Oryctolagus cuniculus: one gene and its partners. The protein of the gene in region 1 binds, or shares a complex with, the protein of each later gene. Links are inferred from orthologs where the notes say so. Each region holds a gene or a part of one and is shown in the gene's direction. Other genes may lie near its edges.

What was found.
Region 2: the proteins of SRRT (region 1) and NCBP1 are in contact, whole or in part, in a cryo-EM structure (PDB 8PMP), measured with the Homo sapiens proteins. The link is inferred for Oryctolagus cuniculus from reciprocal best matches to the Homo sapiens genes SRRT and NCBP1. Residues at the interface, in NP_056992.4 of Homo sapiens: Asp857, Pro858, Arg859, Val862, Glu863, Tyr864, Arg865, Asp866, Leu867, Asp868, Ala869, Asp872, Asp874, Phe875, Phe876; in NP_002477.1 of Homo sapiens: Tyr461, Gln463, Lys511, Lys557, Ser558, Ser560, His561, Ser564, Ala567, Lys568, His570, Lys607, Ile609, Arg610, Thr611, Gln612, Met648, His651, Glu705.
Region 3: the proteins of SRRT (region 1) and NCBP2 are in contact, whole or in part, in a cryo-EM structure (PDB 8PMP), measured with the Homo sapiens proteins. The link is inferred for Oryctolagus cuniculus from reciprocal best matches to the Homo sapiens genes SRRT and NCBP2. Residues at the interface, in NP_056992.4 of Homo sapiens: Asp857, Arg859, Ala860, Ile861, Val862, Glu863, Tyr864, Arg865, Ala869, Asp874; in NP_031388.2 of Homo sapiens: Ser48, Phe49, Tyr50, Thr51, Thr52, Glu53, Gln55, Lys67, Met71, Leu73, Met76, Lys77, Lys78, Thr79, Ala80, Tyr89, Asp107, Glu121.

The regions. Positions count from the first base shown.
Region 1 is NC_091450.1:43,020,311-43,025,560, forward strand, and holds the end of SRRT (serrate RNA effector molecule homolog), read left to right. Parts: exon of another isoform or gene 1-984; coding exon 985-1,154; exon of another isoform or gene 1,155-1,255; coding exon 1,256-1,440; exon of another isoform or gene 1,441-1,528; coding exon 1,529-1,627; exon of another isoform or gene 1,628-1,722; coding exon 1,723-1,837; exon of another isoform or gene 1,838-2,002; coding exon 2,003-2,160; exon of another isoform or gene 2,161-2,313; coding exon 2,314-2,375; exon of another isoform or gene 2,376-2,459; coding exon 2,460-2,538; exon of another isoform or gene 2,539-2,726; coding exon 2,727-2,915; exon of another isoform or gene 2,916-3,152; coding exon 3,153-3,326; exon of another isoform or gene 3,327-3,418; coding exon 3,419-3,572; exon of another isoform or gene 3,573-3,659; coding exon 3,660-3,853; exon of another isoform or gene 3,854-4,042; coding exon 4,043-4,199; exon of another isoform or gene 4,200-4,324; coding exon 4,325-4,426; exon of another isoform or gene 4,427-4,516; coding exon 4,517-4,643; exon of another isoform or gene 4,644-4,701; coding exon 4,702-4,789; 3' UTR 4,790-4,865; downstream 4,866-5,250. Other genes in the region: UFSP1 (ufm1-specific protease 1), read right to left, coding at 4,935-5,250. UniProt on the Homo sapiens protein: Acts as a mediator between the cap-binding complex (CBC) and the primary microRNAs (miRNAs) processing machinery during cell proliferation.
Region 2 is NC_091432.1:201,437,056-201,442,305, forward strand, and holds part of NCBP1 (nuclear cap-binding protein subunit 1), read left to right. Parts: intron 1-2,495; coding exon 2,496-2,581; intron 2,582-3,448; coding exon 3,449-3,549; exon of another isoform or gene 3,550-3,555; coding exon of another isoform or gene 3,556-3,578; intron 3,579-5,250. UniProt on the Homo sapiens protein: Component of the cap-binding complex (CBC), which binds cotranscriptionally to the 5'-cap of pre-mRNAs and is involved in various processes such as pre-mRNA splicing, translation regulation, nonsense-mediated mRNA decay, RNA-mediated gene silencing (RNAi) by microRNAs (miRNAs) and mRNA export.
Region 3 is NC_091435.1:83,418,178-83,423,917, reverse strand, and holds the start of NCBP2 (nuclear cap-binding protein subunit 2), read left to right. Parts: upstream 1-2,736; 5' UTR 2,737-2,862; coding exon 2,863-2,940; intron 2,941-4,958; exon of another isoform or gene 4,959-5,621; coding exon 5,622-5,740. Other genes in the region: PIGZ (GPI mannosyltransferase 4), read left to right, coding at 1-602; protein NCBP2AS2, read right to left, coding at 2,316-2,615. UniProt on the Homo sapiens protein: Component of the cap-binding complex (CBC), which binds co-transcriptionally to the 5' cap of pre-mRNAs and is involved in various processes such as pre-mRNA splicing, translation regulation, nonsense-mediated mRNA decay, RNA-mediated gene silencing (RNAi) by microRNAs (miRNAs) and mRNA export.

The DNA.
Region 1 (5,250 bases):
GTCCCGCAGGGGGGGCATCCGGGCCGGGCGCCCCAGCCAGGAGCCAGCCGGTGCCCGCCAGCCAGCATGGGCCCTGGGCACCGCTAGTTAAATCTTGAGCTCTGTTTGACCAAGCAGCCAAGGTAAAGATCGTGGAGGCGACGCCTGCGGCTTTCTCTCCTCCCACGGCCTCGTGCTTCTGTTCTGTCCGCTGTCCCTTTCTCTGACTGCCCGGCCGCCTGTGTCCTTGTCTCAGTCTCTCACTTCCTTTCATCCTCTCTGTCCCTGTTCTCGCTGCCTGCCTAACACTCACTTCTCTTCTGTCCCCCGTTTGTCTGTCTTCCGTTGCCTTTGTTTCCTATCTCTGACACTTTCTTCCTCCTTCCCACTCCTGCTCTCTCTGGTCCCCCGTCCTGTTGGGAATGTTTTATTTCTCGTGCTCCGGCCCTCCTCTCTCTCCCGTGGGCAGCACCTGTGGCTCTGAGGGCGCACCAGTCTCCCCCGCTGGTCTGCCCTGTCCCTTCTCCATCTTGCTTATCTTCCCCAGGGGGAGAGAGCTGTCCTGCCTTTTGGCTTTTCCTATCTGGTGCACTTGAGGTTTCCTTCTGTCTTCCACCTAGGGGTGGAGGGAGTTGGTGGGTGCAGCTCTTTGAACCACAGTAGTGTGGGGTTGGCAAGGAGAGGGAGGTTCCTCGGGGCCTGCTGTTGCCGTAGTCTTCCTGTCCGTAGCTTTGGGAAACGACCCTAAACGTTAAGTTAGTGTTTCCCGGAGACAGCGCGATAATTCTGCCGGTGCAGCCCTGGGCGCCCCGTAGCCACTGTCTGCCAGTCCAGAGCTCTCGGTTCCTGCCTCCCCAGTCTGCAGAGCACAGCCCCGGTTCCCCTGGGGTGATGACATTGCTGGGTATGAGAGGATGGGGGCTATGCCCTGGCTGGCCTGGGCCCCTCCCCACATCCAGGCCGTGGCCTCTGCTGACTGTCACCGCCCTCCTGCCCCGCCCCCAGGTTTCGCTCTAAGTACCACCCAGACGAGGTGGGGAAGCGTCGGCAGGAGGCCCGGGGGGCCCTGCAGAACAGGCTGAGGGTGTTCCTGTCCCTCATGGAGAGTGGCTGGTTCGATCACCTCCTCCTGGACATCGACAAGGCTGACGCCATCGTCAAGATGCTAGACGCAGGTGTGTGGTTCGGCGGGGGTTGTCTGGTGGGCAGCGTCTCGGGTGGGAAGCGGAAGCCGGGGCCTTTGGGCTATGGGCTGTGACCTCTGCTTTGTTGGTAGCTGTGATAAAAATGGAAGGCGGCACAGAGAACGACCTGCGCATCCTGGAGCAGGAGGAGGAGGAGGAGCAGGCGGCAAAGGCCGGGGAGGCCGGCAAGAAGGAAGAGGGCCGGGCCGCGCCGGGCCCCGGGGACGGAGAGCGCAAGGCCGGGGACAAGGACGACAGGAAGGAGGACGGCAAGCAGGTGCGAGTGGCGTGCCTCCCGGGGGCGGGGGCGGTGACCCTGTGGCTCCACTGTGGAGGGGACATGGACAGCCTCGTCTCTTCCCTAGGCGGAAAATGACAGCTCCAATGATGACAAAGCGCAGAAACCTGAGGGTGACGGAGACAAGGACGAGAAGAAAGAAGACTTGGAGAAGGACGCCAAGAAGGTGAGGCGGGTGCTGGCTGTGGCGGGGGGGGGGGGGGGGGCAGCGCGCAGGGCGAGGCCCGGCCCCTGACGCGCCCCGGGCCGTGGCTCCCACAGAGCAAGAAGCGGAGCCGCAAGCACAGCGGGGATGACAGCCTGGACGAAGGCAGTGCGTCCGAGTCGGAGTCGGAGTCCGAGAGCGGCCAGGCCGACGAGGAGAAGGAGGAGGCGGGTAGGCTTCGTCTTCCGCTTCCGGTCCCCTCTGCCGCCCACTGGGGAGGGGCGAGGTGGTGGAGTCCACGGGAGGGTGCAGCAGGCCGGGGGGGGGTGGGTGGGTGGGCAGGAACGGCTCCGTCCTCCGCTATGAGCGCCCACGAGCCTTTGCCTTCCTGCATAGAAGAAGCCCTTAAGGACAAGGAGAAGCCGAAGGAGGAGGAGCGGGAGAAGCCGAAGGAGGCCGCAGGGCTGGAGTGCAAGCCGCGGCCCCTGCACAAGACCTGCTCCCTCTTCATGCGCAACATCGCCCCCAACATCTCCCGGGCCGAGATCATCTCTGTGAGTGGGGGGGAGGGGCCGATGGCGCGGGGCGTCCCAGGCCCTCACGTGCAGCCTGACGCCCTCTGGGAGGGGGCACAGAGGACAGGGGGGTGGAGGAGGAAAGGAGTCCGCCAGTCACCCAAGGGGTCTCTGTCGCTCTGCTTCTCGCAGCTTTGTAAAAGATACCCCGGCTTTATGCGTGTGGCCCTGTCGGAGCCCCAGCCTGAGCGGAGGTGAGAGAGGGGACACGCTGGGGCGGCCTCGGGGCCAGCGCCGCCTCCACCCCAGTACTGTGCTGATGGTTTCCTCCTGGGTAGGTTTTTCCGCCGTGGCTGGGTGACATTTGACCGCAGCGTTAACATCAAGGAGATCTGTTGGAACCTGCAGAATATCCGAGTGAGTGCCAGCAGGTGGCACTGCTGGGGAGGGGCGGGGGGCGGGGAGTGCCTCTCTGTGCCCCTCCGCGGCTTCCTGCTCGTCTGTGCGTTCCGCTGGGCTCTGGGGCTGTTGCCATGGGCGAGTCTGACCCGCCTAAGCGGGCCGTCTCGGCACTGGCGCTCAGCAGGGCCCGTGTGTCCTTGCAGCTCCGGGAGTGCGAGCTGAGCCCTGGCGTGAACAGAGACCTGACCCGGCGTGTCCGCAACATCAACGGCATCACACAGCACAAGCAGATAGTGCGCAACGACATCAAGCTGGCCGCCAAGCTGATCCACACGCTGGACGACAGGACCCAGCTCTGGGCCGCGGAGCCTGGGACGGCCCCTGTGCCCGCAGTCAGTGACACCCCGTGGGGCTCTCTCGAAAGTCAGCTGCTGAGGGCTGCTCTGTAGGACTGGCCCTTGGACCCCGGCCCCCACTGTCTGGGTAGCAGCCCCCGCCCCGCCCCCCAGCTTCCTGTAGAGCAGGCTGATTGTAGTGCAGGTTGAGGACAAGGGTGGCAGCTGGAGCCGGTGAGCCTGGCCACCCCAGGGCCGCCCCAGGCTCACCTGCCCCTCCCCCCTCCCCGCCAGAGCCTGCCCTCCCAAAACCCCATCTTGAAGAACATCACCGACTACCTGATTGAGGAAGTGAGTGCAGAGGAAGAGGAGCTGCTGGGGAGCAGCGGGGGGCCCCCTCCGGAGGAGCCCCCTAAGGAAGGGAACCCGGCGGAGATCAGCGTGGAGCGCGATGAGAAGCTGATCAAGGTGCCAGCCAGCCGCAGTGGGCGTGGGGCACGGAGGGCGCGGCCCGGGGGCCCCGGGCGGGCGTGGGGAGCCGACGACCTCTCTTCCCTTAGGTTTTGGACAAGCTGCTCCTCTACTTGCGCATCGTGCACTCCCTGGATTATTACAACACTTGCGAGTACCCCAATGAGGACGAGATGCCCAACCGCTGTGGCATCATCCACGTGCGGGGGCCCATGCCACCCAACCGCATCAGTCACGGGGAAGGTGAGCCCCTGCGAGTCCCCCCCACCCACCCCCCCCCGTCCTGGCGCCTGGCGCCCTTCCCAGCCTGTGCTCCTGTCCCTGGCCCAGTGCTGGAGTGGCAGAAGACGTTCGAGGAGAAGCTGACCCCGCTGCTGAGCGTGCGCGAGTCTCTGTCCGAGGAGGAGGCCCAGAAGATGGGCCGCAAGGACCCCGAGCAAGAAGTGGAGAAGTTCGTCACGTCCAACACCCAGGAGCTGGGCAAGGATAAGTGGCTGTGTCCTCTGAGTGGCAAGAAGTTCAAGGTCTGGGGTTTGGGGAGCTGGCGCGCTGGCCGGTGGAGGGGGGGGGGGCGGGCAGACAGAGCGCCCCCTGCGGGCTGGGGCGGGCTGCCGCGGGGACCTGGCCAGCAGCCAGGCTGGAGGGGGGCTGTTCCTCCGGGTGGGTCTGGGACTGAGGGAACCCCCACTACCGTGTCCCGACCTCCTCCCCAGGGCCCCGAGTTTGTGCGCAAACACATCTTCAACAAGCACGCGGAGAAGATCGAGGAGGTCAAGAAGGAGGTGGCGTTCTTCAACAACTTCCTCACCGACGCCAAGCGCCCCGCTCTGCCCGAGATCAAGCCCGCTCAGCCGCCCGGCCCCGCCCAGAGTAAGATACGATCCGTGAGGGTCTGCCGCGGGGGTCCTCCCAGCTGTCCAGGGCCTTGGTTCTCCTTAACCTTCATCCCCTGAGACACCCCCCCCCCGCAGTAATTCATGTTCCTGTCCGTGTTGTACTCCCCCCAGGCCTGACGCCGGGACTGCCCTACCCGCACCAGACCCCCCAGGGCCTGCTGCCCTATGGTCAGCCCCGGCCCCCCATCCTGGGCTATGGCGGTAAGTGCCGGAGGGCAAGTGCCGGCGGGCGGCGCGGCCCGGTGGTCGGGAGCGTGGAGGGCAGGCTGACGTCTCAGCGTCTCTCCACAGCTGGTGCTGTCCGCCCTGCAGTCCCCACCGGGGGCCCTCCGTACCCCCACGCCCCATACGGTGCTGGCCGAGGGAACTATGACGCCTTCCGCGGCCAGGGAGGCTACCCCGGGAAACCCCGAAACAGGTGAGCCGAGTGGGTGTGGCTGCCCGGACTCCCGTCGGGGCCAGCCCGCCTCATCTAGTCTCTCCTCCAGGATGGTGCGCGGAGACCCAAGGGCCATCGTGGAGTACCGCGACCTGGACGCCCCCGATGACGTGGATTTCTTCTGAGCTGCCCGCCCGCCCCTGCAGCTCTGAGGGTTTTTTTACGTTCAGCCCGACTGCCAGTAAAAGCACTTCCTCGCGACTCCGCCTCGGCGTGCTTCCTCCCGATCTTCCCGGGCCGGGCTCTGGGAGCAGGGAGGCCGCCGGGCCCTCAGTCCAGGCCGCGCCGCGCGTCCGGGGCGGGGTTCCGGCTGGTGTAGCACAGGTTGTAGAAGGAGTGGGGGTCGAAGGCCGCGGGCGCCTCTCGCCAGCCCACCCACCCGGCAGCCTGCAGCTCCGCGGGGCTCTCTGGAGAGCCCCAGTAGTGAGGGTCCAGCACCAGGACGCGGGCTTCGGCGCCGGGCCCCAGGCACACTCCCAGCAAGGCCTTGGCGCGGGCATCCGCGTCTCCCCCGACCATGACGGGGCCCCCTCCTCCTGCGAAGTGCGCGTAGAGTCTCTCCAGCTCCCCCTCAAGTCCCGCGCCA
Region 2 (5,250 bases), on another chromosome or scaffold:
TCTGGAACAGGGTTTTTCAACATCCATGCTGTGATGTTATGGGCCAGTTTATTCTTTTTTGTTGGGGGATGTCCTATGCCATGTGGCATGTTTGTCAGCATACTTGGCCTCTGCCCACTAGAGGCCAGTTGCACTCCCTCAGTTGTGACAACTAAAAGTGTCTCCAGAGATTACTGCCACATGGCCATGGTGGGGTGTGTGTGTGTGTGCAGAATCTACAGCTAATTGAGAAATGCTGCTCCAGAGGAAGACTTTTTCTTTTTTTATTTGAAAGGCAGATTTACAGAAAGGCAGAGAGAAAGGTCTTCAGTCTGCTGGTTCACTACCTAAGTAGTTGCAACAGCTGGAACTGGGCTGATCAGAAGCCAGGAGCTTCTTCCAGGTTCCCACCTGGGTGCAGGGGCTCAAGGACTTGAGCCATCTTCTGCTTTCCCAGGTGCATTAGCAGGGAGCTGGATTGGAAGTGGAACAGCTGGGACTCGAACTGGCACCCACATGGGATGCCTGCACTGCAGGTGGCAGCTTTATCTGCTATGCCACAGTGCTAGCCCTGAGGAAAACTATTTTAGTGTCCTGGCTGATTGCTTATATAAACATTGCATCAGATGTGAGGGTTTTTCCCAGTGAATGAATGAGTTCTGGAAATAAAAAAACCTTTGTATGGAAGAATGGTAGAACTTTAATAGCTTCTGCAACTTAAAAATCAAGGTCACTGTCCCACCATGCCACATGTGTCCACTGCAGATATCACTAGGAATTTATCTCATTGTCATACTGCATGCGCGCTGCACTTCTTGTGGCATTATCTTCAAAATTGTATTCTAAGTCAAATGAAAATGGTAAATAAGGGATTGGGCCAGTAACTTTTTTATAATACTTCTCTGGTCTTTAGATAGAAAAATTGATTTTGTTCAGCTTTACTTTGTGTGGTATCTGAAAATCATTTCAGTCATTGGAGAGGCGTGAACTCTGCAAATTTAGAATAGCCTGGTGCTGTGTTCGTGAGGATCACTGTAATTTAAAGCCAAGTGTTCAGAGAGAGTAAATAATCATCAACTCTGTGGAAAGAATAACTCAGATTGGCTATTAGTTCTGAAGAAGATTGAAAGTTATTTATAATTTGCCACTACACAGTCCTATCTCCAAGTGCAAATTTTCATTATTATTAGTACAGATTCCAACACATGTGCATACTGCTGCCTCTGTCCACAGGCATGCAGTGCTAATCATTTAATTGTTGGAAGCCAAAAATTGAATTATATTAGGAAATTAGCCAATATCGTGTAATAATAGCATCATGGTCCATACTTAATAACATCATCTTAAATTTTAAGCTGTTTTACACCACAAAAGGACTTAAGATGGATGTGTTAACAAAATAAGAGATGATCAGCAGTGAGAATATGAACAATATATAGTCCAGAGCTTGAGGCTGATTTGTAGCACGTCTTCTTTCAACTTGAATTCTTTTTTTTTTTTTTTTTGGACAGGCAGAGTGGATATAGAGAGAGAGAGAGAGAGAGAAAGGTCTTCCTTTGCCGTTGGTTCACTCTCCAATGGCCGCCACGGCTGGCGTGCTGCGGCCAGTGCACCACGCTGATCCGAAGGGTGGAGCCAGGTGCTTCTCCTGTCTCCCATGGGGTGCAGGGCCCAAGCACTTGGGCCATCCTCCACTGCACTCCCGGGCCACAACAGAGCTGGCCTGGAAGAGGGGCAACTGGGACAGAATCTGGCGCCCCGACCGGGACTGGAACCTGGTGTGCTGGCGCCGCTAGGTGGAGGATTAGCCTAGTGAGCCTCAGCGCCGGCTCAACTTGAATTCTTTAGCAGTCAAGGTGATTGATAATGGTTTCAGAGTGGTAGATTTTTAAAAGTAATCTTGGATTTGTTTTTTAAATAACTTGAAAAACAGGGGAAAGATAAGGGGGAAAAAGAGAATGCTTCCATCTGTTGGCTAGCCCTCCAGATGCCTGCAATTGATGGGGCTGAGCCAAGGCTAACCACCTATCCTAGGATGGTTTTTGAGTGAATTAGTATCAATAATTATTCAGTTAATAGCCATTCAAGCAAGGAATCATTTACATGAATATGAGCAAATGATACATTTTCCTAGCAGTTATTAGCAACAGTGCTTGGGGCTTTGTATGTATGTTGGTAATAGTTCCTGTTGTGTGGGGTAATCTGAACAGTGGTGCTGTGTGATCTGTTGAACCAGTTGTGCCCACAGGACCAGTCAGGACAGCTAGATTGCATAGCTCCATGAGCACTATTCACAAAAAATTTACCATACATAGCGCCTCTTAGAGTTACTGTATGTAGTGACCCTGAGAATGGAGACTGTAGGTTGATCCAGCCTAGTCTGAGAAATGGAGTATCAGTTAAGATGTTCTTCTGCTCTAAGTGAAAAACAGTCCCACAGAAAAGATTATAATCTATAAATAAATTTATGATAGCAGATTCATCATGAGATGTTAATTTTTTTGTTACTGAAATAGGTGGACAGCCTCACAAAAGGAGAAAGACTGATGCAAATGAAACTGAAGATCATTTGGAGTCTTTAATATGCAAAGTAGGAGAAAAGGTACGTACCAAATGGTTAATTTGTGTGACCATGCTTCTGTTCCAAAGTTGATGCAGGTTGAAGCCCCTGGGATGCAGATAATTGAGAGTTTTTAGTGGTAATTGTTAGAGAAGTCTTAGAAGGGGCCTAGACAGTGGTGCTCTCAATTATAAATGAACTGAGCCACACCCCGATGTGTCAGGTAGTTTGTTCAGGGTCAGAAGGTGCATTAAGAGAGATGCAACAGCGCATGGTGGCCTTCTATTTTTGATACTTTGCCGTCTTCACTGTGTCTTTGTCCGTTTTGTATTGCTGTAAATGCCGAGGCTGAGGACTTGGAAAGGGAAGATTTGTCTGGTTCTGTGTAGTGGTGGCTGGCTTGTCCAAGCAGCGTGACCCTGGCATTCCTCCATGCCCCCCTGGCTGTATCACAACGTGCTGGAGAAGTGGGAAGGGGGATGTCTGTGTGCAGAAGGGACGTGAGTGTTGAGTGGAGAAGCTAGAGCTGGGGAGAGGCCTGCTTGCTCTTTTATACTAACCTATTCCTGTGAGAGCCAGCCCATGCCACAGTACCCGCCTGCGCTAATCCAGTCCTGAGGATGGAGCCCCTGTGACCTAATGACCTGCCATTAGCGCTACCTTATGACCAAGCTTTGAGCAGTGCACCTCGGGGGAAGAAACTGTTTCCAAGCCATAGCAGGCTGCTTATTTTTTTATTTTATTTATTTTTTTTTTGTTTTCATGGATTTTTAAGAATAATACCTGATTCACTTCATGCTAAACCTGTCATAGTGCCTTATGCATATGAAATCTTAACTTGACCATATAGAAAACTTCATTGGTATTCAGATTACTGAATACTTGACAGCTGTTATGTTGCCCCTACAGAGTGCCTGCTCTTTGGAGAGCAACCTAGAAGGTCTGGCTGGTGTTTTGGAAGCTGATCTTCCCAACTACAAGAGCAAGATCTTAAGACTTCTTTGTACAGTGTATGTATGCAAAAGATTTATGAATCCAGGTGATAATGTGTTATCTACTCTTAAATGCTTTGGGAAATGTTCAAAAGTCGTGTTTATGTTGCAAATGTCATGGCTCTCCTCTTGGGAAATTTATACAAATGAAATGATCTTTAGCCCTTTGAACTCTTTCTTAAAGATAAATAGGACTAAAATTGAAAAGTTTTGTTTGTTAGAACCGTAGAATCATGATTGACTTTTTAAATGAGAAAGTAGACATTTTCTTTCCCAGAGATTTTATTTTGTAAGCATATACTTTTAAATGTATAAATAGAGTTTAACTTATTTTTTTAGCTGGTAGTACCAAACAAATTTGAGAACTGGTAATTAAAGTTGTGGTTCTTGGGAGACAGAAAATGCTTTTGAAGGTATTAATAGACATAATCTTCTGAGTTAGGTTGGCTAATACTGGTGACCGCATTTTGTGAGGATGTTACGGTGGGAAAAGTCTCATGAAATTATGAAAGAGTCTGTCAGTAACCAAGATAATGATCTAGACTTTCAGGTAGACATTGATTGCTCTGAATTGCTGGCCTTGCAAAGAACTAACTTCTGGATAAATAGGGGTCTTCGTAATTTAAATGAAATTATAACCTCTGTAAGCTGTTTTTGAATTATGAAGGTGACTTAAGTTTTTTGGTTTTGTCTTTTGGAAGATCTTATTTATTTGAAAGGCAGATGACTATAATCTTCGATCCACTGGTTCACTCCCCAAATGGCTGCAGCAGCCAAGTTTGGGCCAGGCTGAACCCAGGAGCCCAGAACTTCATCCTAGCCGCTCATGTGGCTGGCAGGGGCCCAGTTACTTGGTTTGTCTTCAGTTGCCTTCCCAGGAGCATTTGTAGGGAGATGGATTGGAAGAGGAGCAGTAGGGACTCAAACTGCACTACCATATGGGATGCTCACATTGCAGGCACCCTAAACCCACCATGCCACAGTACCGGCTCCAAGTTATTTTTTTAATGCAGTTAATTTTTGAAGTTTAAAAAATGCACATACAATTAGTGGGTTTCATTTTAACGTCACATTATTAAAAGTACAGTTAATTTGCTTTAGAATTTTCAAGAGGAATACAGTTAATATTCAGGAACACATATCTTTAAAAAACTAATAAAAATCATTTTGCTGTGGTTATCCAAAAAACTCCTTCTCTTTTAAAAGCACTTAGTAGCATGGAATAGTGTTTATACTTAAACTCTTGTCAGAGGCTATGTTTGTTTAAGGCTGTACCAGTATTGCTTGGCACTATTTTTTAATTTGAGGTTTGGGGAGGTTTATAGGGAGTATGATTTCTGTCCAAGTATTTTTGAAGACCTAAATTGTCCCTAATGCTAGATACCTTAGGAAAACCTTTAACTAGATTTATAAATATGTAAGGTTATAAACTTATAAGAATCCCTTCCCCGTTGAATTATCTCAGGAGTCGCTTTAGTGTTTGAACTTATTTCTAAAGGCTGCCTAAATTATGAAGCAACAGTTGCTTCTTCTAAAGGTTTATTATTGTAATCCTCTCTCCTACTTTTCAAATAATTTTAATGAAATCAACAATGAGTACCAAGTTAAGATTTCAACAGTTTAAGTGATAGGAAATTAGTTGAAATTGGTTTTATTCTGCATCTTTTATAAGTGGCTAGAATAGTGTTTCTCAAAGTGGAATGGGTCCCATGACATTTG
Region 3 (5,740 bases), on another chromosome or scaffold:
TCCCCCTCCTGGTCCCTGTGGTCCTGCTCTGCAGTCCACGGACACAGCCTGTGCCCTGGAAGGGGGCTCTGGTCCTTTTCAATGCCCTAGGTGCCCTCTTCTTTGGCTGCCTGCATCAGGGGGGCCTGGTGCCCAGCCTGCAGTACCTGGAGCAAGTGGTCCACGCACCTGTGCTCCCGAGCGTGCCCACCCGCTACACACTCCTCTTCACCCACACCTACATGCCCCCCCAACACCTCCTCCACCTCCCAAGCCTGGGCTCTCCCGTGAAGGTGGTAGACATGGGTGGGACTGAGGACTGGGTCCTATGCCAAGCCCTCAACAATCTTACCAGACAACCAGCCTGCCAAGGGGCCGGGGGACCGTGGCTCTGCCGCCTCTTTGTGGTGACCCCTGGCACCACAAGGCGTGCTGTGGAGAAGTGCAGCTTCCCCCTCAAGAATGAGACACTCATATTTCCCCACTTGACCCTGGAGGATCCACCAGCCCTGTCTTCCCTGCTGAGCGGGGCCTGGAGGGACCACCTCAGTCTCCACATCATGGAGCTGGGAGAGAAGCCTGACAACACAGCAGAGCAGCCACTGCCCAGGATTCGGCCATAAAAGGAGCCACCATACCTTCCACATGGGTAGCTGGGCTGGGCTGCTAGTCCACAGGTCTCTTTCAGGATTTCCACCGCTGCCTCTCTAAGGCACAGCTGTTGGGTGTGCGGCCTTCTTGGTGAGCTGGCACTTCTCTCTCGGAGAACAAAGACCTGATGAGTCATGGTCCTGGTGTCAAGGTCTCCAAAGGATCCTGATGTGAATATGGCACCCGCTGTCTGCACCTGCCCTAGTCCTTCGGGCCACCATGATGTTTTAAATACGTAATAGTGCCTGGTTGTGAAGACAGGAACTACTAATGACAGATAGCTCTTTGGCTTCCTAAGTCAATCTGGCCTGTCGGATCCCAGGAGGGCAATGTGGTGACACAGAGAACAGGAGGCTCGGACTCAGGGGCGCCCTCTAGTCCCAGACCTGCCACTCACAGACCGTGTGACCTTGACAAAGCCCCTTTGGCTCAGAACACAGGAGGCCAGAGAATCTCTGCAGAATGTGTCAGCTAATTTTGTCATTCCTGGACTCCACAGCACACGTCCCCTGGCTTAATAGGCATCTCTCCCACAAAGCCCTTTAAGAATGCAAGTGGGAGTGGCAATGCATCTAATGGCACCTTGGTACCTGCTGTCTCTGTGTTCGGTTATTATCCAAACGAGTTATTCTGGAAGTTTTCTCCCCTCTCCTACTCCTGTTCCTAAGCCCTCCGGCCATTGCTGCACCTTGCCCTGCAGGCTCACTCTCGAAGAGGAGGGAGCCCAGGTGTTCTCCCACCTCAGCGATGTCACTCAGGTCCTTCCAACCTGCCCCGTGGGAACACAGTTGGAATCTATGATGCTTGGTCAGTACCGGTTACATTTAAAGGCTTCACGCTTCCTAGACGGAATGATTAATTGTGTAGCCTAAGTAGAGCCCATCAGACACCCAATCAAGAGCCGGAAATGACAGGGCACTTCTGTACACAATTTGCATCCTAATTGTAGGTCCGTTAGCTGGACCAGTGGTTTGTATCCCAGACCCACAAAAGTGAACAGGAATCCCGGTAGTCTTAATGCCTGGTGGTGACGGCGGTGGAGGAAGACAGGCACTGGGGCAGGGTAGATGCTGTGGAGAGTGGTGATTACGGATTTAGGCCCCGGAGTCAAATGCCTGTACTCACATTCCGCTCTGTAAGGCTCTGGGCAACGTAAGAAGTAATATCCACTTCCTCCCACGAACGCGCTGTAAAGAGTTAAGTGTGATAACCCACACTGAGAGCAATTAGCAAGCGCCAGCCCAGAATAAGCACTCACTGTGTGTGCCGGCCTACAGCGCCCAGGCCTCCCAATCCACCTGGTCTGAGAAGCACCACACTCACGCCGGTTAATCAGCTCACGCATTTAATCAGAGGATTTCGGCAGCTGCAGGGCCGTGTTTCCATCCATGATCTTCCCCGCATATCTAGCCCGAGTTCTTGTCCCATTTGTAGAGGGCAGGCTCCCTTTCTGGCTGCGTCCCGGGGCAGCCCCTCAGGCTTCGGGGTCTTTGGCCACACGGAGCTCTGCCCGTCACAGGGCTTCAACGAGGAGGTCCGTTCGGCCTGGGCTCTTCGTAGTGGGACGTCTGCAGGCCGGAAATCTGAGTCAGGGTTTCGAAGCTGTGCCCAGTTCCCGGGATGACTCCTCAGCGCCGAAGCCACTGTACAGTCCCGAAGCGAAAGTAGGCGACCTCGGCCCGGGCTCAAGGGTTTGCGCCTGGACCCCTCTGGCTCCCCGGTGGTGTCCCCGGGCGATCCCGGAGGCCACGGCGTAGTTCCTGTGTGAAGGCGTCTCGGAATCGCGCGGCGCGACGACCCAGCGAGCCGGCGGGCCCCGCCGCGAGGCCCCGCAGACGGCGGGCCGCGTCCTGGCCGCGCAGCTGGGCCTGCAGCAGCGCGAAGGCCGTAAGCTGCGCCGCACGCCGGATGGGCCGAGACTCGGCCAGCCGCTCCACCAGCTGCGGGCTGTGCAGCAACACAGCCAGCAGCCGCCGAAGAACCATCCTCGTGAGAGCGTCCCGGAACCAAGAGCACGCCTCCCTCGTCCCCGGACCGGCGGCGCTGGGCCGCGGACTGTGTCCGCCTCCGCGCCGTCTGATGACGACACTGCCGCGCTCGGATTGGTCTGGAGACTCCCACTGTGCGCCGCGTCCGCGCGTTTCCGTTTCCGCCGCCGCCGCTGCTGCCGCGCCGCCGCCCCAGTCCGGTTGTTCTCGGGAGTCGGCGCGTCGTTGTGCAGCTGTGTGAGCTATGTCGGGAGGCCTTCTGAAGGCGCTGCGCAGTGACTCCTACGTGGAGCTGAGCCAGTACCGGGACCAGCACTTCCGGGTGAGGGAGCCCGGGCCGCGCGACGGGCAGACCCTTGAGCCAGGACGCTGAGAAACGGTTTGCTCTTGCACATTTCTGCTGCCCCGAAACGGGCCATGGGTCCCCGGTGCCTGCTGGGGAGGCAGCGATGTTGGAGGGGACCCCACTCTGTTTCCGAGAGAGAGAGTTTGAGATTCGCTTTCCCGTTGCCTTGCAGCCGCTCCTCGTGCGCGGCCGGCGCAGAGGGCTCGAGCGGCGTCGTCAGCGCTGGCTGCTGTTCCTGCAGGCCGTGCGTCGGGAAAGTGACTTGTGATGAGGGGAGAGACTTTTTCATTGCTGGAGCGTGTGGAGGCGCCTTTCTGACACACATACCGTCCCCCGTCGGTCCCCCCCCCCCCCCGGTCTTAAATAATCGGCCAGTGTTCTTTGACGCTTCGGATCCTTTTTAAAATTTTTTGTTAGTGGCTCTAACTGGTGGGTGGGCGACACAAAATTGAGTCCTGTCTCTAACGTCGGGGAGAGTTCGGAGTGGGGTGGCAGATCGACCACCTAGAGGATGCCCGCGTGTTTAGATGGAAGAATGCTGGATTTCAGAAGGGGGGTTTTAGGCTGTATTACAACATACTTTGGGGAAAGGGGGCAGCTGCAGATACTTAGAGATGGGCTTTCCCGGTGACAGCGGGGATGGCCAGAGGTTGCGGCAGAGCAGCACTCATAACCTAATTACTAGGGAAACTATTGAACACCGTGTCGCAGTGTTTCGTGTTCCGTTAGGCGAGCTGGGGAGTGGGGGAGGCTGTTGCAGGCATTTGGGGAGTGAACCAGACTGCTTCTTTAAAAATCAGTGTATATTATTACATAGTCCAATTGGTTTCCTATTTGAGAAATTGGTTCACTCCCCAAATGCCTGGGAGACAGGAACTCAGTGACTTGAGGCCTCACCCATTGCTTCCAAGGGTGAGTATTAGCAGGAAGCCGGAATCAGAAGCGTAGCTAGGGCTTGAGCCCAGGCAGTCTGACCAGGATGTGGGTGTCCTAACTGCTGTGCCAAACACCAGCCCTCAGTTTTCTTGTGGTGTGAGTTTAGATGGTTTCGCTATTTCTCTAATTACCACTGAATGCGATCACATAAAACTGTTGTTCTAAGTAATGCGCTATAGAGCATTCAGGGACAGCTTATGCAGAGTGATTCTTGGAGTGAAGAGAACTGATCAGCACTACATGTAGAGCAGTGACTGAAGAAGTGAGGGCCACTGGAACAGTGCCCTGTGCGTGCTGGTGTGGATCTACTCATGGCCCTACAAGCTGGAATGCCACTGGTGTGGTTATCTTGGACTCTTAAGCTAGATCAGAGCGGCGGGAGAGTAAGTCAGCTGATGGGCCTCATATTTAATCACATGTATCCTTCCCAGTATGGAGGCTAGAAGGTCCAAAACAGCCATATATGGGTTTCTTTCTTAAAAAAAAAAAAAAAAGATTTATTTGAGAGGGAGAGATAGAGAAAAAGGTCTTCCATCCGCTGGTTCACTTTCCAAATAGTCGCAACAGCTGGAGCACAGCTGATCCTTCCTCCAGGTCTCCCACGGGGGTGCAGGGGCCCAAGCACGCAGGCTGTCTTCTGTAGCTTTCCCAAGCCATTAGCCAAGACCTGGATTGGAAGAGGAGCAGCTGGGATACAAACCAGCGCCCTTATGGGATGCCAGCACTGTAGGTGGAGACAGCCTATTACACCACAATGCCAGCACCCAAGATACTGGTTTCTGTGAAGGCATCATGTCTAGTCCATGATGAGCCATCTTGTCCCCAGGGATTGTCAGGTGTCTTGGTTAAAGCCAATTATATATTCCTGTCTCTGGTTTATCTTCCAAGTCAGGAACCTCACTAAGAAGATCTTTTTAGTCATCATTATCTTTTTTCCTGAACTCTGACCTTGTAAGTCATCTAAGCCATTGTTGCTTTGACAGTTTTATAAGGGAAACTTGATCTTTGAAAATCCATTTTTCTCTACAGAGAGAAGGGCCCTTCCTTATATACTGGGATTTTTCTTTTTTTTAAGATTTATTTATTTACTTGAAGAGTTACAGAGAGGCAGAGAGAGAGAGGTCTTCCATCCGCTGGTTCACTCCCCAGATGGAAGCACAGCTGGAGCTGCACCAATCCAAAGCCAGGAGCTTCATCCAGGTCTCCCACATGGGTGCAGGGGCCCAAGAACTTGAGCCACCTTCTACTGCTTTCCCAGGCCACAGCAGAGAGCTGAATTGGAAGTGAAGCAGCCAGGACTCGAACCAGTACCCATATGGGATGCTGGCACTGCAGGCAGCAGCTTTACCCACTACGCCACAGGACTGGCCCCTATACTGGAATTTAAACTTGGGCCATTAGAGAAAGATCCAATGCTGAGTATATGGAGTGTGAAAGAAAAAGGCACACTGCTTGTCTGGCAGTCTAATGCAGGAATGGAAAGGTGGCATGCACAGTGTCATTATTGTGAGCCTAACCCTCCCCTCCTGGACCTTGCTTAAGTGCTTTACAGAATTTGAATTCCCCCTCTTATTGGCAAGTTTTTGTGGTGGATTGGAATGATAAGGGAATTTTATTTCCAAATCAGAACTAATGTTTTATTGTACTTGGAGATACTATTTAAGCAAGGCTCTCTTTAAGTAAGTTGTATTGTTTAACTCTGTCTCTATTTGAAATTCTAGGGTGACAATGAAGAACAAGAAAAATTACTGAAGAAAAGCTGTACATTATATGTTGGAAATCTTTCCTTTTACACAACTGAAGAACAAATTTATGAACTCTTCAGTAAAAGTGGTGACAT